Linked DNA regions of Neodiprion lecontei. The protein of the gene in region 1 purifies or fractionates together with the protein of each later gene. This does not show direct contact. Links are inferred from orthologs where the notes say so. Each region holds a gene or a part of one and is shown in the gene's direction. Other genes may lie near its edges. The genes, in order: nucleoplasmin-like protein, 60S ribosomal protein L14, nucleolar GTP-binding protein 2 and protein penguin.

The links.
Region 2: the proteins of nucleoplasmin-like protein (region 1) and 60S ribosomal protein L14 purify together in Homo sapiens (affinity purification with mass spectrometry; 3 studies listed by BioGRID and IntAct, with this or other methods). This does not show direct contact. The link is inferred for Neodiprion lecontei from reciprocal best matches to the Homo sapiens genes NPM1 and RPL14.
Region 3: the proteins of nucleoplasmin-like protein (region 1) and nucleolar GTP-binding protein 2 purify together in Homo sapiens (affinity purification with mass spectrometry; 3 studies listed by BioGRID and IntAct, counting the BioPlex papers as one, with this or other methods). This does not show direct contact. The link is inferred for Neodiprion lecontei from reciprocal best matches to the Homo sapiens genes NPM1 and GNL2.
Region 4: the proteins of nucleoplasmin-like protein (region 1) and protein penguin purify together in Homo sapiens (affinity purification with mass spectrometry; 3 studies listed by BioGRID and IntAct, counting the BioPlex papers as one, with this or other methods). This does not show direct contact. The link is inferred for Neodiprion lecontei from reciprocal best matches to the Homo sapiens genes NPM1 and PUM3.

The regions. Positions count from the first base shown.
Region 1 is NC_060260.1:25,712,126-25,718,659, reverse strand, and holds nucleoplasmin-like protein, read left to right. Parts: upstream 1-1,845; 5' UTR 1,846-2,027; coding exon 2,028-2,049; intron 2,050-2,337; coding exon 2,338-2,453; intron 2,454-3,187; coding exon 3,188-3,401; intron 3,402-3,899; coding exon 3,900-3,976; intron 3,977-4,246; coding exon 4,247-4,321; coding exon of another isoform or gene 4,322-4,348; exon of another isoform or gene 4,349-4,567; intron 4,568-4,951; coding exon 4,952-5,059; 3' UTR 5,060-6,009; downstream 6,010-6,534. Other genes in the region: nucleotide exchange factor Sil1, read right to left, coding at 1-286, 521-759, 852-1,129, 1,409-1,544. UniProt on the Homo sapiens protein: Involved in diverse cellular processes such as ribosome biogenesis, centrosome duplication, protein chaperoning, histone assembly, cell proliferation, and regulation of tumor suppressors p53/TP53 and ARF.
Region 2 is NC_060261.1:38,009,695-38,013,574, forward strand, and holds 60S ribosomal protein L14, read left to right. Parts: upstream 1-1,876; 5' UTR 1,877-1,924; coding exon 1,925-1,927; intron 1,928-2,332; coding exon 2,333-2,434; intron 2,435-2,747; coding exon 2,748-2,942; intron 2,943-3,129; coding exon 3,130-3,312; 3' UTR 3,313-3,352; downstream 3,353-3,880. Other genes in the region: intraflagellar transport protein 56, read right to left, coding at 1-85, 165-414, 775-1,301, 1,469-1,471; uncharacterized protein LOC107216589, read left to right, coding at 3,549-3,660, 3,729-3,880.
Region 3 is NC_060265.1:21,566,140-21,571,102, forward strand, and holds nucleolar GTP-binding protein 2, read left to right. Parts: upstream 1-1,642; 5' UTR 1,643-1,802; intron 1,803-2,140; 5' UTR 2,141-2,145; coding exon 2,146-4,323; 3' UTR 4,324-4,435; downstream 4,436-4,963. Other genes in the region: actin-interacting protein 1, read left to right, coding at 4,942-4,957. UniProt on the Homo sapiens protein: GTPase that associates with pre-60S ribosomal subunits in the nucleolus and is required for their nuclear export and maturation.
Region 4 is NC_060263.1:34,674,029-34,678,818, reverse strand, and holds protein penguin, read left to right. Parts: upstream 1-1,793; 5' UTR 1,794-2,019; intron 2,020-2,189; 5' UTR 2,190-2,210; coding exon 2,211-4,139; 3' UTR 4,140-4,271; downstream 4,272-4,790. Other genes in the region: ruvB-like 2, read right to left, coding at 19-451, 517-951, 1,068-1,181, 1,616-1,621. UniProt on the Homo sapiens protein: Inhibits the poly(ADP-ribosyl)ation activity of PARP1 and the degradation of PARP1 by CASP3 following genotoxic stress. Binds to double-stranded RNA or DNA without sequence specificity. Involved in development of the eye and of primordial germ cells.

The DNA.
Region 1 (6,534 bases):
TGCCAAAACCTGAGAAAATATTTCTAAGCCGCCGTGACTCAGTAGTGCTTTTTGTGCAGCTGGGTAGTTCCGGACCAGGGAACCCAGTGCATATATACATCGATCCATCAACTTCGAGGTGCCGTGTTTTGTCAACATGCGTAAAATGATTGGAACAAATTCCGACTCCAGTGCTATTTCCTTCACCTTCGGGTTTGACTGTACAGCTGCTCCGAGGACATGAAGGGCTTCACACTTGATCTCCTCTATTGTGCCATTGAGACAAGGGTGTATCACTTTCATCAGGCTGAAAATATTTACAATGTAAAGTGAAGACCGATTGTTATATGATACGAATTAATACTATAAGAATTGGCACAAGTAAAGTTTTCCTAGAAGGCAGATGAAGAGCGATGTATTAATTTCAGACTAGAAGCAACAGATTTGATGAATGGAAAATGAAAAACGTGAAAATGCTAAATTCTATTTCAAACAGTTCCATGCACAATTTCAAAAATTGTAAAATGTAGACTGTACGCACCCTCCGAATCTGGTGAATTCGAGCCCATTGTCAATGTCATGGACCAGGTATTCTAACTGACCCAATATATCCATGATGTCTTTGATCTCTTTGGCATCTAGTGATCCGGACGTAATTGCAGTTCGATGAGTATCAAACTGTTCAATGAAAATACCTAATAAATCAACGTCGGTTGACGGGCCAAAGTTTATGTTCTCATACTCCTTCTTCAGTTCATCAAAGCTCTGGAACCTGGCACGCTTTAGAAAAGAAAGGAAAATAAGATGTCAGTAATGTGGAAAATGCGACTATTTCCTGTTTGACATTAAGATAGATTTGAGCGACGAATTACTTTGGGTTTCCGTGCGAAAGGAGTCTTGTTAGACTTAATTTTTTTCAATTCGGTTTTTAATTCTTCCCCAGATATTTTCAAAGTCCTATCATCGTGCTGAATCTGTCCATCATTAATTTCCGAAGGTTTTAAATTCTCCGCGTCTGGATGTAGGGCTACGGATTTGCGCATTTCATCGTTATCCGAAATTTCTTTCTCGCTGGGTTCCATCAGTTTTGCTTCTGTAATGCCAGTTTGAAAATTATGCCGAACATGAAGACCTTTTGGGATTGGTGTGCCTGAAAATTATTAGCGTTCGTTAGGAAGCGCGGGATTCGTCGAATAATCGAGAAGCCTCAAACCCCGAAAAAGCTTTCAAAATGTGAAATATAACGGCGTATCGAATCTTATCGCACCGTGTAAAGTGGGGAATTTAATAGGGCGAATGATCTATGAGCCATATGCCGATCTCTCGTTGGTAAACGATCAATTTATGCAATCGCACGAGGCCTGTGTACTTGACTGACGTTGTAAGCACACGTCAAGTGCGAGAAAAGTAGTCCCGTTTCTCGACCTACCCTTTTCAACGACTTGCCATTCTTTGGTGGGTATAAATACACTGTCATTTTTCGATCCTTTCTCCGAAGCTACGATATCGTTGATCCAGAGATACGAGACTATGATAAACAAGCATAGATCGCACACGTAACGCATTTTCCAAGAGAACGTGTCGAATAGGCGCTGTGAGCAGGTGCCGGATTTCTTCTAGAATATACGGTTACTCATATAGGAATTAAATATCCGTTCTAAGCGACACGAGAACCCGTTAATAATATTTACAAGGGTTTTTCAATACCACGCACTCGCGCTGTCACGTTTTACAAACCGTTTGCCTATTGTTGAGAAAATTTATCTTATTAATGCAGTCGTTTTGCAAAACCTAGTTCGTCACTTCTGTCGCCAGGTGCCGTCTCGAGACCAATAGCGCGTCGGAATGACCGCAGAAGTTTGGAGGCAGGACCCAATCAGAAGGTGGAACGTACTCTAGGCGCGCAAGCCGAGGGACGCGAAACTCATTTGCTGCGAGATCGTCAAACACGTGTGACCATTCCGAGTCTCTACCCAGTTACGCGGCGTCCCTCGGCTTCAGACCCGCAACTCAAAACGTTTGAATCTGTGTATATCTAATCGATCGCCATGGCTGAGGAATATTTATACGGTAAATATTATACTCTAAGACTTAACGGATATGCTGATTTATTTATTTTCCATAAATAGCGAATACTTTCGATACATACCGTTGTTTTAACACCGTTGTATGCCTACGTGTGGACGCCGGCAGAATATCGGCCATTATGCAGGCGAATCCATTGTCTTTGTACAAAAATCTTGGTTATTATACCATTCATTATTTCTCTCATCGTCGATGTGCCACAGAATGATTATTATGTCGATTTAAATTATGCGTAAACTACATTCTTCAAGTCTTGCGTCAATTTGTATGCAGGAATCACTTTGCAAGGACCCAATGCCACCGAGGTCTGGGATCCTGAGCACAAAAACGAGGACGTTGACGGTGCTAATCAACATTTTGGCGCTGACCAAAAACTCATTATCAAAATGGTGAGTTGAAATTGTCAATCTGGTAATCAAGTATCTAATTTTTTACACTTCATCAGCTACTGTTTGATTCATTTTGTGTTACCCATCTTTAGCGCCATTGTCGCCGTGCGTACGCAATTTTGCCGATTCACATTCTCAACCTTTATAACACGCAAAATTTGATCCTAGAACAAACCAGAAATAAAAATTTATAAATAACACGTCAGTGTGTCAACAATCGATGATTTTTGTCCTTGAAAATTGTTATCGCTGTTTTTAACGCATTTTGGCGCCATTTGCATTCATCTTCTAAATTATTGTCATTCGAAAAAACTCTGAAATATCCAATTCATTGCTATTGTATACCTATTTGTTTCTGATAAGTTGCATCAATATAATAAGTATAGTCATCCCAAAAAGAAAATCTGTACTTAAATTTTGACAAGCTAATTGATTGTTTAATCGTTGCAAGTTGTAAGATCAACATCTATAATGTAAATTATTTAAGCTTGAGTCGACATTAACTAGCTGCTGTTTTTATTTAAAAAATTATGAATGACGAGCGATCAAGAATAAACAGTAACACGTTTCAATTTCTGATAAAAAGTATGTCAGCCTTGAGGCAAGCTTTGAAAGTACTGTTTATTTAATATTAATAGTTCATCAGTTTATTGCAACACTAACATTTAGCTTACGAATATGGTCAATATAATCCGATGAGGTTCATTATCTATATCTTTTTTTTGTGACTTCAGGCACTTCTGGGACCTGAGGCCAAAGCTGGCGAGTTAAACGTACTACAAGTTGAGGCGATGGGACTCAAAGGTCCAATTAAAATCCCAATTGCCTTATTGGAACTGGGCAAAACTGCACAAATCATCCTCGATCTAAGTTTCCCTGATCCACCCGTCACATTCACCTTAATCAAAGGCAGCGGTCCAGTCCATATAGTAGGACACAATCTCCTTGGTAAGTTTCATTTTGTTTCGTAGATTAATCTTCCTTCACTCCTGATATATTTGGACTAATAACACTTGCAACATCACTACCAGCTGTGTCAGCGATGCACGCTCAAGGTTTGCGAGACACCATTTGGCCGCAATCTTTTATAGACTATCGTATTTAATGAGAAAATGTTTCATTTTAATGAACTGATGCTAGTGACCAGAGTCAATGGCGACGAATAGTAATTATGCTGAAAAATTTGGAAATGAAGCCTAGCAATTGAAATTTCACTGAATCTCATGAATATTTAGTACTTTCATAGAATCATCGGATCTGAAATTTATGTATGATTATCTTTAAAAAAAAGTTTACTACATCGGCTGCTGACTGAAGTCACTAAATTCAGCTTCATCTCATTTTAGTGATCAAAAAACTATGATTACAGTTTTATTTGCACTGTATTGTATAAGAATATATTGTGTGAATATATCATGCATTAATAAACTCGATTATTCGTTACAGGGACGCATATGGATGAATTTGAAGACATGGAGGACGAAATGGAGGAAGAAAACATCGATGACGAAGATGATGAGAAGGTGAATATAAATCTAAAATTTTACAGCTTTTAGCCAGGGTTTTTCAATTAAAAATTGTCAATTTTGAAAATAAATAACCCATTCGTAATTACAATTGATTCAGACCATTGGTTATTGTGCAAAAGCAAATTAAGCGTATTGTAAACAAAAATTCTGAAATTGGATTTGTGTTAGCAATACGTTATCTTAACAATCGGTACAAAACTGAAGGAGTATGGTTAGAAGTTAGGAGACCATCATACGTTATGTGAATGGGAATTAATATTTCAGGCCTCGCATAAGAAACGGAAACTTTCTGGCGAGGGTAAAAAAAATGGCACCAAACGCGCCAAGATGGATGAGGAGGTAGACAAGGAGAACTATCGAAAATAGCATGCTTGGTCCTAGCAATAAGTTTTACATATCTTACGTTAAATACAGACTATACATTTCAAACATCAATTAAATTCGTTTTAATCATCAACTCTTCATTTCACCAGACTAGAGTGATGATAATGGTAACTTTGAAACGTACAGATGTACTTGTCTATGTTACATCAAAATAATTTAAGTTTTAATTTTTTTGAAAAATAAACAACGTCTTTGGAATAATTGTTTTTAGATTTTGCATTTTATTTCACTACCTACCATCTTGGCAGTGTGCAATATAATGGGCCTACTCTAAATGTTGTCTATACATCTTTGACTACTTTCCGGTCATTGTAATATTAAATTTTGTTTCTCAGGGTTTTATGATACATAATTTTGATCACAGATTAGGTTTTATAATTTTTTCTTTTACGACTACGAGTTTTGTTACTCGACGGTAAAAATAATATAACTATTAATTTATAAAATAATGAATTGTTATTTGAGTAGTTAAGACTGATCGGTCTGGATTTATGACACTATTGTCTCTACACTAGATTGAATTATTAGAACAGAATGCGTAATCGGAATCTGCTCTCATTAATTTCTTTGATGTTTTTGATTTAGGACCCTGAGGATGAAGAAGACGAAGAAGAAGAGCCCAAAAAGAAGAATGCGAAATTAGCGACCCCAGCTAAAAACAAAAATCAAGCTAACAAGAATAAGAAAAAATAAATCCGTGGTTTTATTACCAACACATCCTAGGCTAGGCTCTTGAATGTAAGTTCATCATCATTCGCGTTTTGCGTGTTACAGTATCGTTTCATCTGATAGTCAAAAGAGACCATTCATTATCCATTCACGGATTCTAAAATCTTGAGGCTGGGTTGTGTACATTTTTTTCATGATAACAATTGTTCTTCAATCGAAAGCAACGAAGAAGCAAAAGCAAAGAGAAAAAGATCACAGATATTAGGCACACAATCTGTTACCTTACTGAATTAATGCGTTACTTGAAGATTTCCAGACTAATTTTGTGTAAAAATACCTATAAGATGAATATGTATTTTATTCTAGCGACTATAAAAGGGTCGCGGAGCCATGACAAGGTCATCAGTGAGAACACATTTTCGAGGAATAAGTCTATATAGAAGGCAATGCAAGTTCGACTCTTCAGTATTTAACGCTTCTGCGTCTCCCTGAACATCGGAATAGCAATCTACAGCTCAGATTTGAAAGTTCGTGAATCCGAATGCTAGACAAATGATAGACTGACAGACAGACGGAGACAGATTGACGCATGTTTTAATCCTACTCTTCCGCAGCTCGACTTCCAGTCAGAAAACACAAAGCTATATTATAACACCACTTGATAATCATATTTACTTCTTATAAAGATCATGACGGAATTTTTATCCCACTGATCTAGTATATTTATTTTGAACTAAACGAGGTCTTTGATTAATTTTATGACCATTAGAAGGAGTTAAAACAGAACATTGTCATCTCTCGATATTCATTCCATTTGAAGAAAAGTAATAGCCGGCGTACAGACAGACACTATATGCACGGCGCACCGTTCTTATTTAACATGTGTTATACACAGTGTTTTCCACTTACGTGCCCATACGTCTGTATACTCTTTTGTACATATACGATACAATAAAAATTTCACTTAACTTTTACTTAATATTAATTTATTATGTAAATTTGTACAGTGCGTGACTAGACTTAGAAAACACTTTCTTGTTTGAAAAATTTTATGTCAAACCTCCCATTATCCGCGCGAGGTCTAATTTTCAAGAAAATATGAAGTGGTGTGGGTAGTTAACACTTTGAACCACGGCCTTGAACAGTTGGAGCCAGGTAAAAATCAGTGGGATCATAGTAACGATCGGTTGTTTGATATTCTATAGTTATAGTCATATTAATAATTTGTACTACTTTTACTCTTGAAATATTTGATATTTTGTAAATATATTCGAAGGAATAATTATGCTGGGATGAAGTTGGTGTGGTTGGAATTTTATAGTCGTAGGTCTTCTGGCCTGCCATTTTACGACCTCGATGAAGAAAACATTTTCAAATACGGGATTACTTCCACGAAAATTTCTAAGGTTGGTTTATGACTGTCACATGTCTTGCTCAGAGTTGATAGGTTGACAGTTAAATGGCAGGAGTTATCACTGTGGGAAAAATAATAGAAAAAA
Region 2 (3,880 bases), on another chromosome or scaffold:
AAATGACGAGATTTAATCTAGCTTCTGGTATCACATCTACCAAGCTAGGTAATACTTGAAGAGCACCTTCGCCACCTCTGAATACCTGAAACGATGCAGAAATGAGATAATTAAGAAGTAGAATTTTTGAAAATTTTACTCTTTCACTTTCATTAAATACGTACTACTATATTATGTCGTATTAGATCATGCCCAAAGCTGAACGAGCTTGATGTTTGTTCCATAAGTTGTTTCATCTCCGCCTGAGCAGCACTGCCATTGTACAATCTGAAATGATTGCAAGCTTTCAGGTTGATGGCAATTGCGCTGTCTGGATGCTTTTGCAAATAAACTTGAAGAACTTCTTGAGCGACGTCGTAATAGTCCAGCTTGTAGTAGCACAGAGCTACATAGACGTTTAAAGCTAAGTAGTCCCTAATGAAAACATCAGTAAAAACACATTAGTCATTTCATTTTGCAAAGCTATTGATTTTTGAGATTTGCAAGGAAATCAAAGGTTCAAATGCGGGACGTAAGGATAGTGGGAATATGGATAGGATACCTGGTATTCTTTAGGAGTTCAGCTATCAAGTATACTTCGGAATCTTTGCCACTTATCGAGGATTTGTTTTTTAAATTAATTGGTTTGCTAGAATAAATAAGTGACTCGTTTCTTTTAACCTAATTTTAAAAGCACTCTGGCGATGCTTGATTAGTGAAGTACGCTTCTTTGCTAATTGTAAGCTTCAGTTTTTAATTGTGTGATGTGAATATTTTCGTTATTTGAAAACGAACCTGTTTTCCAGTAATATTTTCTTGTATATATCAATAGCCTCCTGATAGTGAGCCCTGAGATAATGGATAGAAGCGAGACACAGTTGATCCTCAATAACATCCTCCAGCATTTGGTGGTATTCCATGAGTTTTTTCTCGTCACCCATTTTGTGAGACAGATGAAAAAGAATCCTGATTTTCAAACGGCTGTCAGGAGATTCTTCTACAACGTTTAACGCTTCCGGGTACATACCAAGGTAAAAATAACAACATGCCAAATTTGTAGCGAGATCTACAGAAGTATTCCCTTTCTTTCTCATGTTTTCATATACTTTTGCAGCTCTTTTATAATCACCGAGGTGAAAGGCACAGTAACCAATCCATAAATCTGTGTTTATTGAATTTTGATCATTTCCATTATACTCCAACAACGTCAACGCTCCTGTATAGTCTCGCTTTTCAAGGAAATCCTCCAACTTAGGGATCTCCTTTCTCGAGGTGCTTTTCTTGGTGCCATCCGTAACCACAGGCTTGGCTCTAGATAGTATCTATGAATAAATTTTCATTTTCATGATTTACCATTTATCAAAATTATGCATTGCCTAACCCAGTAGCTGAGCGGTATGTAATGATTTTCCATTTTATACACAAGCGTCGAAAACATGCAACAGACTTATAATATTTATTAAGATTGTTACTGAATATTTGACATTACCATATTTGCTAATCGGAGAATATCGTTGAATATAATATGCTCACTACCTCGTAAAATGTTTCACCGTAAACTATCGCTGCCATATATAAACAAATCATCTATAAACGTCATAAGCTAATCGATGATCAGATTTGAAGCCTTGTCATTGAAATTAACTTCGGCCCCACTTGAGCTCTACTAGCGCTATCTGGCGCTTAACGTACCAACTTTCCCGCCGACTACTTGTCAGGATGTTTTTTTTTTTTATTATTCTAATTAGCGATTAATGCTAACTTAATGCGGATAAATTCTATAAAAACGAAGTTGAAATGATTTCTCCTATATTTACCTTTCCGAGAGGTTGCGGGATTCAGTAATCGTGTGGATTACACAGTCGTAAGCTTGACTACTTTTCTTTGGGCGAATGTCCGGCAAGTTCCCATTTCAGTTTTTCAGGTCTTTCGCTTCCGGTTAACCATGGTAAGCATGCTGTGGCTCTTGTTATAACGTCAGATTTCTCGTTAAAAGTATTAAATATTATTTAATTTCCATATTATTGTAACACGAACGTAATCGGGTAAACTGTGAAAATGAATATGTGGACGGAGTGTAAGAGGAGAACAGTTATTTGATGGGAATACAACCTTTTTACAATGCGGCTCATCACCAGCCACATGGCACACGCCACTATTTCATACAAGTTTATCAGCGAATCCAAACGATCTCAACGATAGTTTGGGACCGGTTCAAAAGTCTCGATTAGTCCCAACCCAATTAGCCCAATTCGCGCCAGAAATTTCTCGATTGAAGCTTCTACTCTGTGTAACCGTTTCACATGTTCTCGCACAATTCTTAGTCTTATTTACCATTCATTGTTATTTGCAGCCGTTCAAGAGGTTCGTTGAAACGGGCCGCGTCGCCTATGTCAGCGATGGGCCCCATGAAGGCAAACTTGTCACAATTGTTGACATAATTGATCAAAACAGGGTAAGATTCTCTAATTTATAATTAAATTTTTATTATTGGTGATAAGAACCGAGGTTACATTGAAAGCAAGAAACCGGTTGCTTGATTGAAAGAATTTCAACTAATATTTATGAATAGTATCTTTCAAAATCAAGATGTTCTCATTCTAAAGCTTTGTCTGGTCAACATTCTTAATGATGATCCCAAATTCTTGATAGGAATTGCCGGCTGATACATAATTGAAGATATCACAATTTTCTGAAAACATTCTGATCCACCAAACAATATTGTTATGTGGGAATGGTTGGATCTGAATTTAATCTTGTATTTCCAGGTGTTGGTTGATGGACCGGCTGCAAATATACCCCGTGGTCAGATGCGCCTTAGCCAATTACACCTGACGAAATTCCGTCTACGTTTTCCGTTCACTGGCTCGACTCGTGTTGTACGCAAGGCATGGTCTGATGGAAAAATTGATGAGAAATGGAGCGAGTCCATGTGGGCACAAAAAGTAGAAGCCAAGAAAAAGGTATGGAAGTTTTTTTTTTAATCTTCGCATGCTTATATCATTTATATGATGAACCTATATTCTTGATAGGAATTGCCGGCTGATACATAAATGAAGCCATTATTTATCTGATTTGATTTAAAATTGATCATCCTTTTGTCACAAATCCAATTCTCCAAATTAAAATGATTTGATAATAACTTCACAGCGGGCTGCCCTCAGTGACTTTGACCGATTCAAGCTGCGCAAAGCTAGACAGGTCAGAAATAAGTTGAGGACACATGCGTTCTTGAAGATTAAGAAAAAGTCGAGGAAAGGAACTAAGGCTGCCGTTACAGCACCTAAACCTGGCGCAAAGAAGCCTGCAGCCAAGAAGCCCGAAAAGAAATAATTGTACAACCTTTCGAAATAAATCCATACCATAAAAAGTATTACCTGTTTAATTATTCCGGAGATTAAATATCCCTTTGAATCAGGTTTTCAAAAACGTCGCAGTTGGCTAATTAAATGTGTGAATACAGTCTGCATTCTATTAACTTAGCAGTTGCCTTTTCATTCCTCATTGCTTTTTTCTATAGTCGTTTGTTTCTGTATAATCAAGAGAAATCTTTATAGGTAACATGTAAAATGCAGTCAAAATCCACTTCTACTGAAAACGGTGAGCCTCTTATGGCAAAGAAGATGGATAAAGTTGTATTTGAACAAATCTGTGATGCAATATTTATGTTGATACCTGAGGGTATGGCATCCCATGATTAATCATGTATGTAACTCCTATTACACATTTATATTATACCCGTTTGGTAGTGCCACGATTGAAGCAGTTGTTCTTGAGCTGGAGTCTGCTTAGTACAGAAGAAAGATCTCAACTAGATTCTAGAGTTTGTACTTGGTATAATCCCAGTCGTCGCCAACTTTATAAACCTCTTCGAGAAGCCCTAATCCGGTGGGAAAATGTT
Region 3 (4,963 bases), on another chromosome or scaffold:
CACCTATATAAAATTACAGCTATGAAACCGCATCGACATTTTAAAGAACGAAAAATATACCATTGTTATCATTGATGATACCTTAATGTCATAAATGATGATTGATGTGTCTGTATCAAATAGTCCAACTAGAAACTTTTAATGTTAAAGTTATTCGAACGCGTTCCAGGCGTTCAGTTTCATTCAGCAACGCAAAAATGTGGATCAAATTGTTACTGTTGATTCTTACATAGTATCGTTGCTGCCGTGGGAAAGTAATTCGTCGGATTCCTCGTTCCGAAACGATATGTGGATATACCTTACATTTTCAATCATCGGTTTAATCATTTTCTAGCATTTGACTGATACCAATTTGAAAAAAATAACTTCCAGAGTATCCATTAATTCTCCTCTTATACCTTGACTCCAATAATTAGGAAACAATGGAGTTGTATTTTACCGTATAGTACCGTATTCATAGTAAAAGACGAGTTGCTGCATATGTATTTTTGTGAGTGATTACTGGTGGTGATTTATATCGATGTATACAGCACGAGTATACAGACTTCCGGATTGAATGACCATTATTATTCCTCTCCAATGCGCTGAAAAAATTTCTAATTGTGAGTAAATTAAATTAGCATCACGGTGGTGAATACAATTTTTTATACGACGCAACAACAGGGAAAGAAACACGTCCGAAGTCATAAATTATTTTATTTCCGAAACCAACACAGCTTATATTTATCCATTTTCTTTTATAACTATTATTTGACCAGCTTGTAAGTTCCTATAATTGCTCACGATATTTACTTTTGAGCTGTAGTGAATAGCTGGTAGCAGAGTCCCTATAGGTTTTCTATTCTACAAGGTATAAGCCACTGACAAATTATGTTTGCGCAGGACAGAATGGCAGTGATAACTATAATTTATGATCGCCCTGTGGGTTCCTGTAATTGCTCAGGATGTTTGCCTTTGAGCAGTAGAGAATAGGTAGGTTTTTTTTAAATCTAGCATGTCCTTTAGATTTTCCTTTCTGTTGAAATAATAATCCATCAAAGGAAGAGCTTATGAGAACCTCCTTAATCTGAATCTCTTGGAATCTTCTCATTAAGATTGTTTGGGATGAATTCAGTTGCTTCAATTTAAATTCTACGAATATAAATAAACTATTAGTAAAACTGAAAATCAGCGAACCTCAACTTACAAGTCTTTGTGGAAGACACAGACGTTGTCCTATCATTACAAGATTAATTAAATCCGTCTGCAATTAAAAATTGGAGCATTTTAATTTTTTCGTTTATACTGCAATATATTTTTCCATGTATTATGTCTACGTTAAACTTGATGCTAAGGGAAAAATACTTCGTTTCAGTCACACTGTTTGTAAACTCTGATGCCTAGATAATAATATATTTTTTTTAGGTATTTTTCGCTACCTAAAAAAAATTTATGAACTCAATTTCTCGTTGAAGATAATTTAAGAAAATGCATTGATTCCAAACGGCGTTAACATACTTTTAGTCAACGTTTGCTGCAACAAAATAGTATCAATCCTTATAAGATGTCGATAATTTTATGCGTGTGTGGATGCGTAGTGTATCAGCATAATTGCGTATCTTAGCCACCGCTACACGGATTTGCTGTGTTGCTGATGGCACGTGCAGCAAGCACTGGCCGCCAGACGGCAGCTGTGGACGAATATCAAAGATTCATAAGTAACATTAACCTTACATGTAGCGGTTGAGGGTGGAAATATTATCTTCGTCGTAGCACTTGGTGCTCCTATATTTTGTAATCCAGGAACCTAATACGTAAATCAGGTATTTATTAACTTGAACAATTTCATGTGGGCAGTAATAATCGATTGGTGTCCAAACGCCTTGCGTATGGGCATTATGCAGTTTTGAGGTTAAGTTGATTAACACGTGTTTTTAACGTCAATTATAAAATTTGTTTGTAATATCTATTAACGTTCCCAACAACACGTGTAATATGAATGTCGCAGAACTAGCTGTGAAATACTTCGTTCTGAAAATCTGTTTATACTGGAGAAAAAGCTACATTATTATTTAACGTTATTTGACATAACCTACCAACAACTTTTTCATCCATACTAATAACTACTAAATTTATTTTATTCTTGGTATGATGTTTTCAGAAAAAATGGTGAAATCACATTCTGCTAGTAAGGCTCCACGGAAGGAGGGATTCAACAGATCGGGGCACAGTATGAATCCTGAAAGATCGACCGAAGGGCTCAAAGGTGTAGCGAAGCCTCGAACGAAGGCGACAATTAAAAGGCTGCAAATGTATCGTAATTCGAAACCAAAGCGTAATAGAGTTGGTAAAATTATAAGTCCAGCTCCATTTCAAGGATGGCATGCATCTGGTACGGTTTCTCGAGTCGAGCCCAGTCAAAGGTGGTTTGGAAATTCACGTGTCGTTTCTCAGAATGCTCTTCAACAGTTTCAAAGTGCATTAGGAACAGCTATGAAAGATCCTTATCAGGTTGTGATGAAACAGACCAGATTGCCCGTTACTTTACTACAACAAAAAGCTGCTAATGCCAGGGTACATCTGCTCGATACAGAGAGTTTCCAAAATGTGTTTGGACCGAAGAAAATTAGGAAGCGACCTAATTTGCCCATTACAACCTACGATGATATGCAGGCTCACGTTAAGGAGAAGGAGGAAAAATATAACTCTGAGAAAGACACTAAAGATCATGATTTGATCAGACCGGATGATGGGACACGAGATGTACAGAGAGACTGGGTTATGGCTGCAGGACAAAGTAGAAGAATTTGGAATGAACTGTATAAAGTAATCGACTCATCAGATGTTGTTATTCAAGTTTTGGATGCCAGAGATCCAATGGGAACTCGATCTCCACCTGTAGAAAAATATCTAAAAACTGAAAAGACCCATAAACATTTAATTTTCATATTGAACAAGGTCGACTTGGTACCAACTTGGGTCACACAGAGATGGGTTGCAATATTAAGTGCTGAACATCCGACCCTTGCTTTTCATGCCTCGTTGACTCATCCGTTTGGAAAGGGTTCGTTGATTAATCTCCTACGTCAGTTTGCAAAGCTGCATGGAGATAAGAAACAAATTAGCGTCGGCTTTATAGGTTACCCAAATACAGGCAAAAGTTCTATCATAAATACTCTGAGATCTAAAAAAGTCTGCAAAGTTGCACCGATTGCCGGAGAAACCAAGGTATGGCAATACATTACCCTGATGCGGCGCATATATCTCATCGATTGTCCTGGCGTTGTTTATCCGTCTGCCGAAACAGATACGGAAAAAGTTCTGAAAGGCGTTGTTAGGGTTGAACTCATTACTAACCCTGAAGACTACATATCGCATGTATTGGAACGAGTGAAACCTGAATATATGCGTAAGACTTACAAACTCGACGAATGGTCAGACCACATAGACTTCTTGGAAAAACTAGCACGTCGGACTGGCAAACTATTAAAAGGCGGAGAACCTGACGTAGCAATAGCAGCACGAATGGTTCTTAACGACTGGCAACGCGGAAAGCTTCCTTTCTTTGTCCCACCTGTGGGATTTGAAAATCCATTACCTAAGAAGGCAACGGAAGAGGAGACTGTTGCTGAAGTATCGAATGAAATAAACGAAGATATTACTTCGGATAAAAATGAGGAAACTGAGAATGAGGCAGTGAAAGAACCTGTCAAATTGTCACTTAATGTTGTCCAAGATTACAGGAAGATCAGAATTGGTTTGACATTCTCAAGTGAAGACAACAGAGATGTTTTTGCTGATGAAACCGGAACTATTCAGAACGATGATAAGGATAATAATACAAGTTCAGCTGTGTCTGCAGATGACTCTCAGCCGCCTAGTGAATCTGAAGAAGAAGAAGCAGATGAAGAAGAAAAAGAAGATAATGGTGAAGGAGAGTTGTTACACCAAGAGAGAAATGACCTGAAAAAGTCTGGAAGTAAGAAATACAAAACAACAGCAAATGCTGAAGAAGAGAATGATTCATTAAAGGATGATGAGACGTTTTTTGGACCTGAGAAAGATAGCTTGATGCAAAGTGCCTTCGATGTTGTAGAAGAAGAATACGATTCTAGTGATAGTGAAGTTAGAGAGATTAAAACAACCTCCAGCAGCGGTACATTCAGCGTCTCTGACGAACCAAGGAAAAAAGAAAAAACAGATCCAAATGAAAAGAAATTAACTAGTAAGCAAAGAAGAGCTATGGAGAGATCAAATAAGAGAAAGAAAATAGGAAGCGATTTCTATGAAGTTACTAATGTAAAGAACAGAAATAGAAACAGAAAAGTTCCGAAGACAAGATAAACCCAGCACTTTGTTATCTGCTACAGTTTGACCTATTGCCCGGGTAATAATACGTTTGCCACGCCAACGTTGTTTCCCTAATCCTTACCGAATAAAAAGTGTAAATACTCAATTCTCTAGTAATTTTCACCCATTTACAATTGCATAATGCTAAAGAGTTGACTGAAGATACAAGTCAACGGATTTACCATATCTTCAGTCGATGACAAAACTACTGTCGAAATTTCATCTCATTGCATCTCACGCTTTGGAGAAACTCAACTGCATATGCTGCACTAGCTTGCCAGTCTTTTTGAAATTCAAAAAAGAACCTTTAACCAGAGACCTACTCATCTCTGCTTTAACGCGTATTCTAGTACTAGGAGTTGCCACCAGACTTCGGTAGTTTTCCAAGTCTACATTCACGTATTCTTAATCACATAGTTCATGATCCAACCAAATAAGGCGAAGGGCGGGACAAATATACCAGATGCGAAAGTGGGGGAGAGGCGGTTGTGGTGGTGATACGCGACTGATACGTGACTCAGGTGACAAATCAAGCCCGTGTGTGAAGATTCACCGGGTTTACGTATTTTTCATACTAATTAGCGGCCGGTCGCGAGGCATACAAGGGTAGAAATGTCATATGAAACGAGTAAGT
Region 4 (4,790 bases), on another chromosome or scaffold:
ATAAATATAAAACTCTACCTCTATTAGTGGCCATTATAACGACAGGTGCCATTTCATTCTCAAGGGCTCTATTGAGGAATGAAAAGCACTCGATATCCAGCATGTGTACTTCATCAATGAAGAGAACACCAGGTACGATTTCAGCTTTTCCTTCTTCTCGCCATTCTGCAACCTTAGCATTTATCTGATCCCGTACTTCAGACTTTATTTCCCCCGTATCTCCGGAAAACAGTGCCAAAAATCCGTGAGTTCTGCTGTTAATAACGTCAACTTCGTGCAAAGTAACCGTATGTACCACTTCCTTTCGTTTTTGGAGCTCTCCTTCTGGGCATTGAACAAAACGGGTTTGTGATCCCGTCGCATCGTAGTCCCGAGCTCGTGTGAACGAACGGCCAAGTCTGTTAATTTTTCCAGTGGCTTTATCAATCGTTATAACATCTCCAGCTTGTACCTTTAATGGAAACATTTTTCATTTAAATTTTGTCGATAATTTATAACTGTTTTCACTTTACTTACCTTTTCCTTCATCAGGCTATCAATCATTTTATTGCCCAGATCGTAAATGGTTTCCATCTCGGTTGTTTTCAATGTCAACTTTCCTACTTTAGCGCCAACACCGGTAGCTGGTCTGTCAACTTGAATCTCTACTACCTCCCCTTCGATAATTTCCGTTTCCTCTTTGATTCTCACTCCAATTGATTTTCGTATCGCCTGAGTTAAAGCTTCAGTTTTACCCATTTCTAAGGAATAAATCTCCGAGCCTGCCATTGACGTGAACGGAGTATCTAGACCAAGAGCTTGGGCCATTCCCATCGCAATTGCAGTTTTACCAGTGCCCGGTTGTCCAGCCAACAAAATTGCTCGTCCTGCGATCTTTCCATCCTTGATCATTTCGAGCACAACACCTGCTGCTCTCCGAGCCATGAGCTGGCCCACCATACCTTGAGAAACCTGCGAGTAATTCATCTTTGTTGTAACGAAATTTGTACATGATATTTGCTGAATTCCGAGTTATTGATACAAGGCTGGGATACATTGCAAATATAATATATTATTGTGAATCTTACATTGCGCGGCTCTAAACTGTCATCCAGTCCCAAACCTCGAATGTGAGAATGAGCGCCAATGCGCTCGATTCTAGTGATCTCACGAACTTCTTGCACCTTTGCTGCAGCGACGGCCTGGAATAAAGTTTTTTTTGTTACTGAATTTGGTTCTTGGATACCTTTAATGTTGTCTAATCTAAGTATAAAAAAATAACAACCAACGGATTGTCAGTGGTAAATGTGATCAAATGAATAGTTAGTGTGATCTTCAATTTTTAAAACATGCCGCAGTAAACGATTGCAATAAAATTTAGCATTGAATCACATTGAAATGACGGAAGACTGTGTTGATCGTCGCAAATTTGTAGGTTACCGTTCACGCGTGCCAAACGCCGCATGTCGACACGGTTATGTTTTGAAGAAGAAGGTTTTTTGAAAAGACGAATTTACAGAGTAAGCTTCAATCAATAAGCTAGTAGGAAAATATCAAATTTATCAATCTTTTCGCCGAATTCTATGCGAAAAATAATAATTTAAATGCATAATATCTACGACGCATTTCCACTTACCGCCATGATTTACAACTCTGTTGACTGATCGTAAAGTTGCCAAGGAAACAGTTTTCTGCATGCGCCACGCATCGCTGTAGGGTACATTTTTACGGGTAGCGAAACCTTGCGGTAGTATTTAGCGTCATTTTATTGCCGCAGCGCCACGCTGCGACAGAAAGTAACTAACCGTGAAATGTGTCTGCAGCTCAACGCAACTGCTACCTCGTGAATCCTATTACCAGAATTCAGAAAGCCAAGCAAAGCCAAGTGCACGCCACGTGATCGTACATTGGCGCAATAATTTACACCTTAGCTTAGTGATTCTATGGTGCGGTTTATTAATTTATAAATATCCGATAATTCACTGACTTTAGTATAATTACTACTGATTTGCTTACGCTGTTCGAAATTCAGTCTGAGAAGTAAGTATTTCCAAAATTTAAACTCAATTTTCATAAATCGGTGTCGTCTTTAATAGGTTATGTTTTGCACGCACGTTGTTCGAAATGTTTGAAATACTTGCAGAAGCATCAGAAAGGTAGAAACAATACGTTACGCTAGATAAATTTTACGTACAATTTTTCTTTTCAAGTTACAGGTAAAAATCGTCATCATGAAACGCCGGGAAAAGGAAGCAGTGAGCCTTAAACCGATAATTAAAAAAGCTAAAACGGCTGTCGACCCTACTGCCAAAGTGAATATCATAAAAAGTTCAGATGCGAAGCTAAAGAAGGTGAACATCTCACAAAAAAATGACGCTTTGGAGAAAAAAGGTAAATTCCAAAAACCAACTGCTGCAAAGAAACCTGCCAAGGCAGACAAGTCACAGAAATTGTTTGACAAGATTAATAATAAGAAGAAAAGACTACAAACTCAGGTTCAATACAAATCTATAAATGGTAGCACAGACACAACTGAGAAACCAGATTGGTTAGAGTTTAAAAAACAGAAGAAAGAACTGCGGGAAAAACGAAGGGAAAAAAGACTGACGAATGCGTATGATGTTACCGTCAAAGCTAAGAAGATTGGTGAAAAATTACGCAGAGCAGATTGTTCTAAAGAAGAGCGTGTAGAGCTCACAACGCAGCTATACGAATTACTCAAGGGACAATTTAGTAAACTTGTCTTCATGCATGACATGGCAAGGATTGTTCAATGGCTTCTCAAGTACTGCACTTCTGAGATAAGAAAAAATGTTACTGATGAATTACAGAAAAGTATTGTTCTAATGTTACAGTCGAAGTATGCCAAGAATTGTGTCAAAACATTGTTGAAGCATGGGACAGATGAAATTCGAGCTATGATAATTGCGGCGTGTAGTGGCAATATAGTTAGGCTAGCAAGCCATTCAGTATCTGCACCAGTACTTGAACTTGCATATTCATCTTGGGCGACCGATGCAGATAAATTATATTTTAAACAAGAATTTTATGGTGATATGTACAAACTAGCCAAGGACAGTCAAATCAAAACACTTGCTGATGTCTATAAGCTTGCAGGAGATATGAAATCTGCAACTCTCTCAGCTGTCAAAGGAAATTTGATAAAAATACTAAATAAGAAGCTGATTAACACCTCCCTTGTACATTCTGTGTTGCTTGAATTCTTAAGGAATTGCACCAAAGATGATAGAGATGAAATGATCACTATGGTCCGAAGTTTGATTGCAGAATTATCTCAGACAAAGGATGGTGCTAAGTCTGCAATGATTTGTTTGTGGCATGGTACAAAGAAAGACAGAAAACTTGCGATGAAGGCATTGAAAGATCAAGTCAAGAATGTGGCGACAAACGAGCATGGTCATATGGTGTTATTAGCTTTGTTTGACTGCATTGACGACACAGTTCTCGTGAAGAAAATGATATTGACAGAATTGCTGAATGATCTGACAGAAATTGCGTCAAATGAATATGGCAGATGCGTAATTCTATATCTTGTTGCTAGAAGGGATTCACATTATTTTCACCCGAAAGTAATCGAACAACTTAAAAAAGGTGATGCCAATGAAACTAGTAAAAAGCCACCAGAAATACGAGCAAAAGAGCTATTGGACGCAGTAATTGATAAGTTGTTAGAAACTGTTACTACAGAAGTATCGACATGGCTATCAAATAGTTCAATATCAATGGTTACGTTGGCAATATTGAAAGCAGGGGATGGAGAGAAGCTCAAAAATGCTCATGAAACTATTAGAGATTATATAACAGATCCAGAATCAGTAATAATGGAAAATGAAAAGGAACAGAAGGTAATTGAATCTTCTGGGCTTCACATGATGCTGAAAAAATTGATACAGAATGATAAAATACTTATTGAAAACAAGAAGTCTACCTTCGGAGAGGTATTGATTGACAAATTGAACCCAGAAGTAATGAAACAATGGATTGAATTCAACAGAGGCTGTTTTCTACTCATAACATTGATAGAAAATAGTGGTGAGACCACAGCCAACATTGTATTAACTAAACTGAAACCTCTACAAAAATCTTTAAAATCTAAAAAAACACCAGGAGCATCTATATTATTAAAAAAACTCAAGTAATGCCTCTGTGTTGAGAGCATCAAATGTGTGTTTCAAAAAATGTACATTATTTTGTTTTAGTTGTTTATTTCAAATCTACTATTTGCAATGATGTAAGCAACATTAGATCTTATAAATATAATGTTTGATTCACATCGTTTTTTTATTTTTTATTTATTACAGACATCGTTTAACATGAAACTCGATTCGAAATTGATTTATTAAATATTTTCTGCAATATAAATAAGTAGGCTAAGTTACATAATTCTTTTCTAAGGGTAACCATGACGCATAACTCATTAAATGTGAATTCATCGTCGTTATACGATACCATTCTATCAAGTTCACTAAAAATTAGCTAAAAATTGATTAAACTTTAGCTATAAAGACTGGCTTGAATGTTAGAGCAGGGCAACAGAATTAGCATAATGAAATCTAGAGGAATTATTCGAAAATTAACTAAACAAATAAGAGTTTAAATTTTGTTTTGTTTTGATTTCACCACGTTAATATTGTATAATTATACGAATAGGCATATATTAATACCAGTTTATAATACATATAAGTAAATATATTTAAAACTTCAATTCCTATCTGATGTTTCTAAACCGTAGCAAAATTTAATACCTTTTTCAGTTGAAAAACAATATTACTAAGTTCACTAGCGATAAG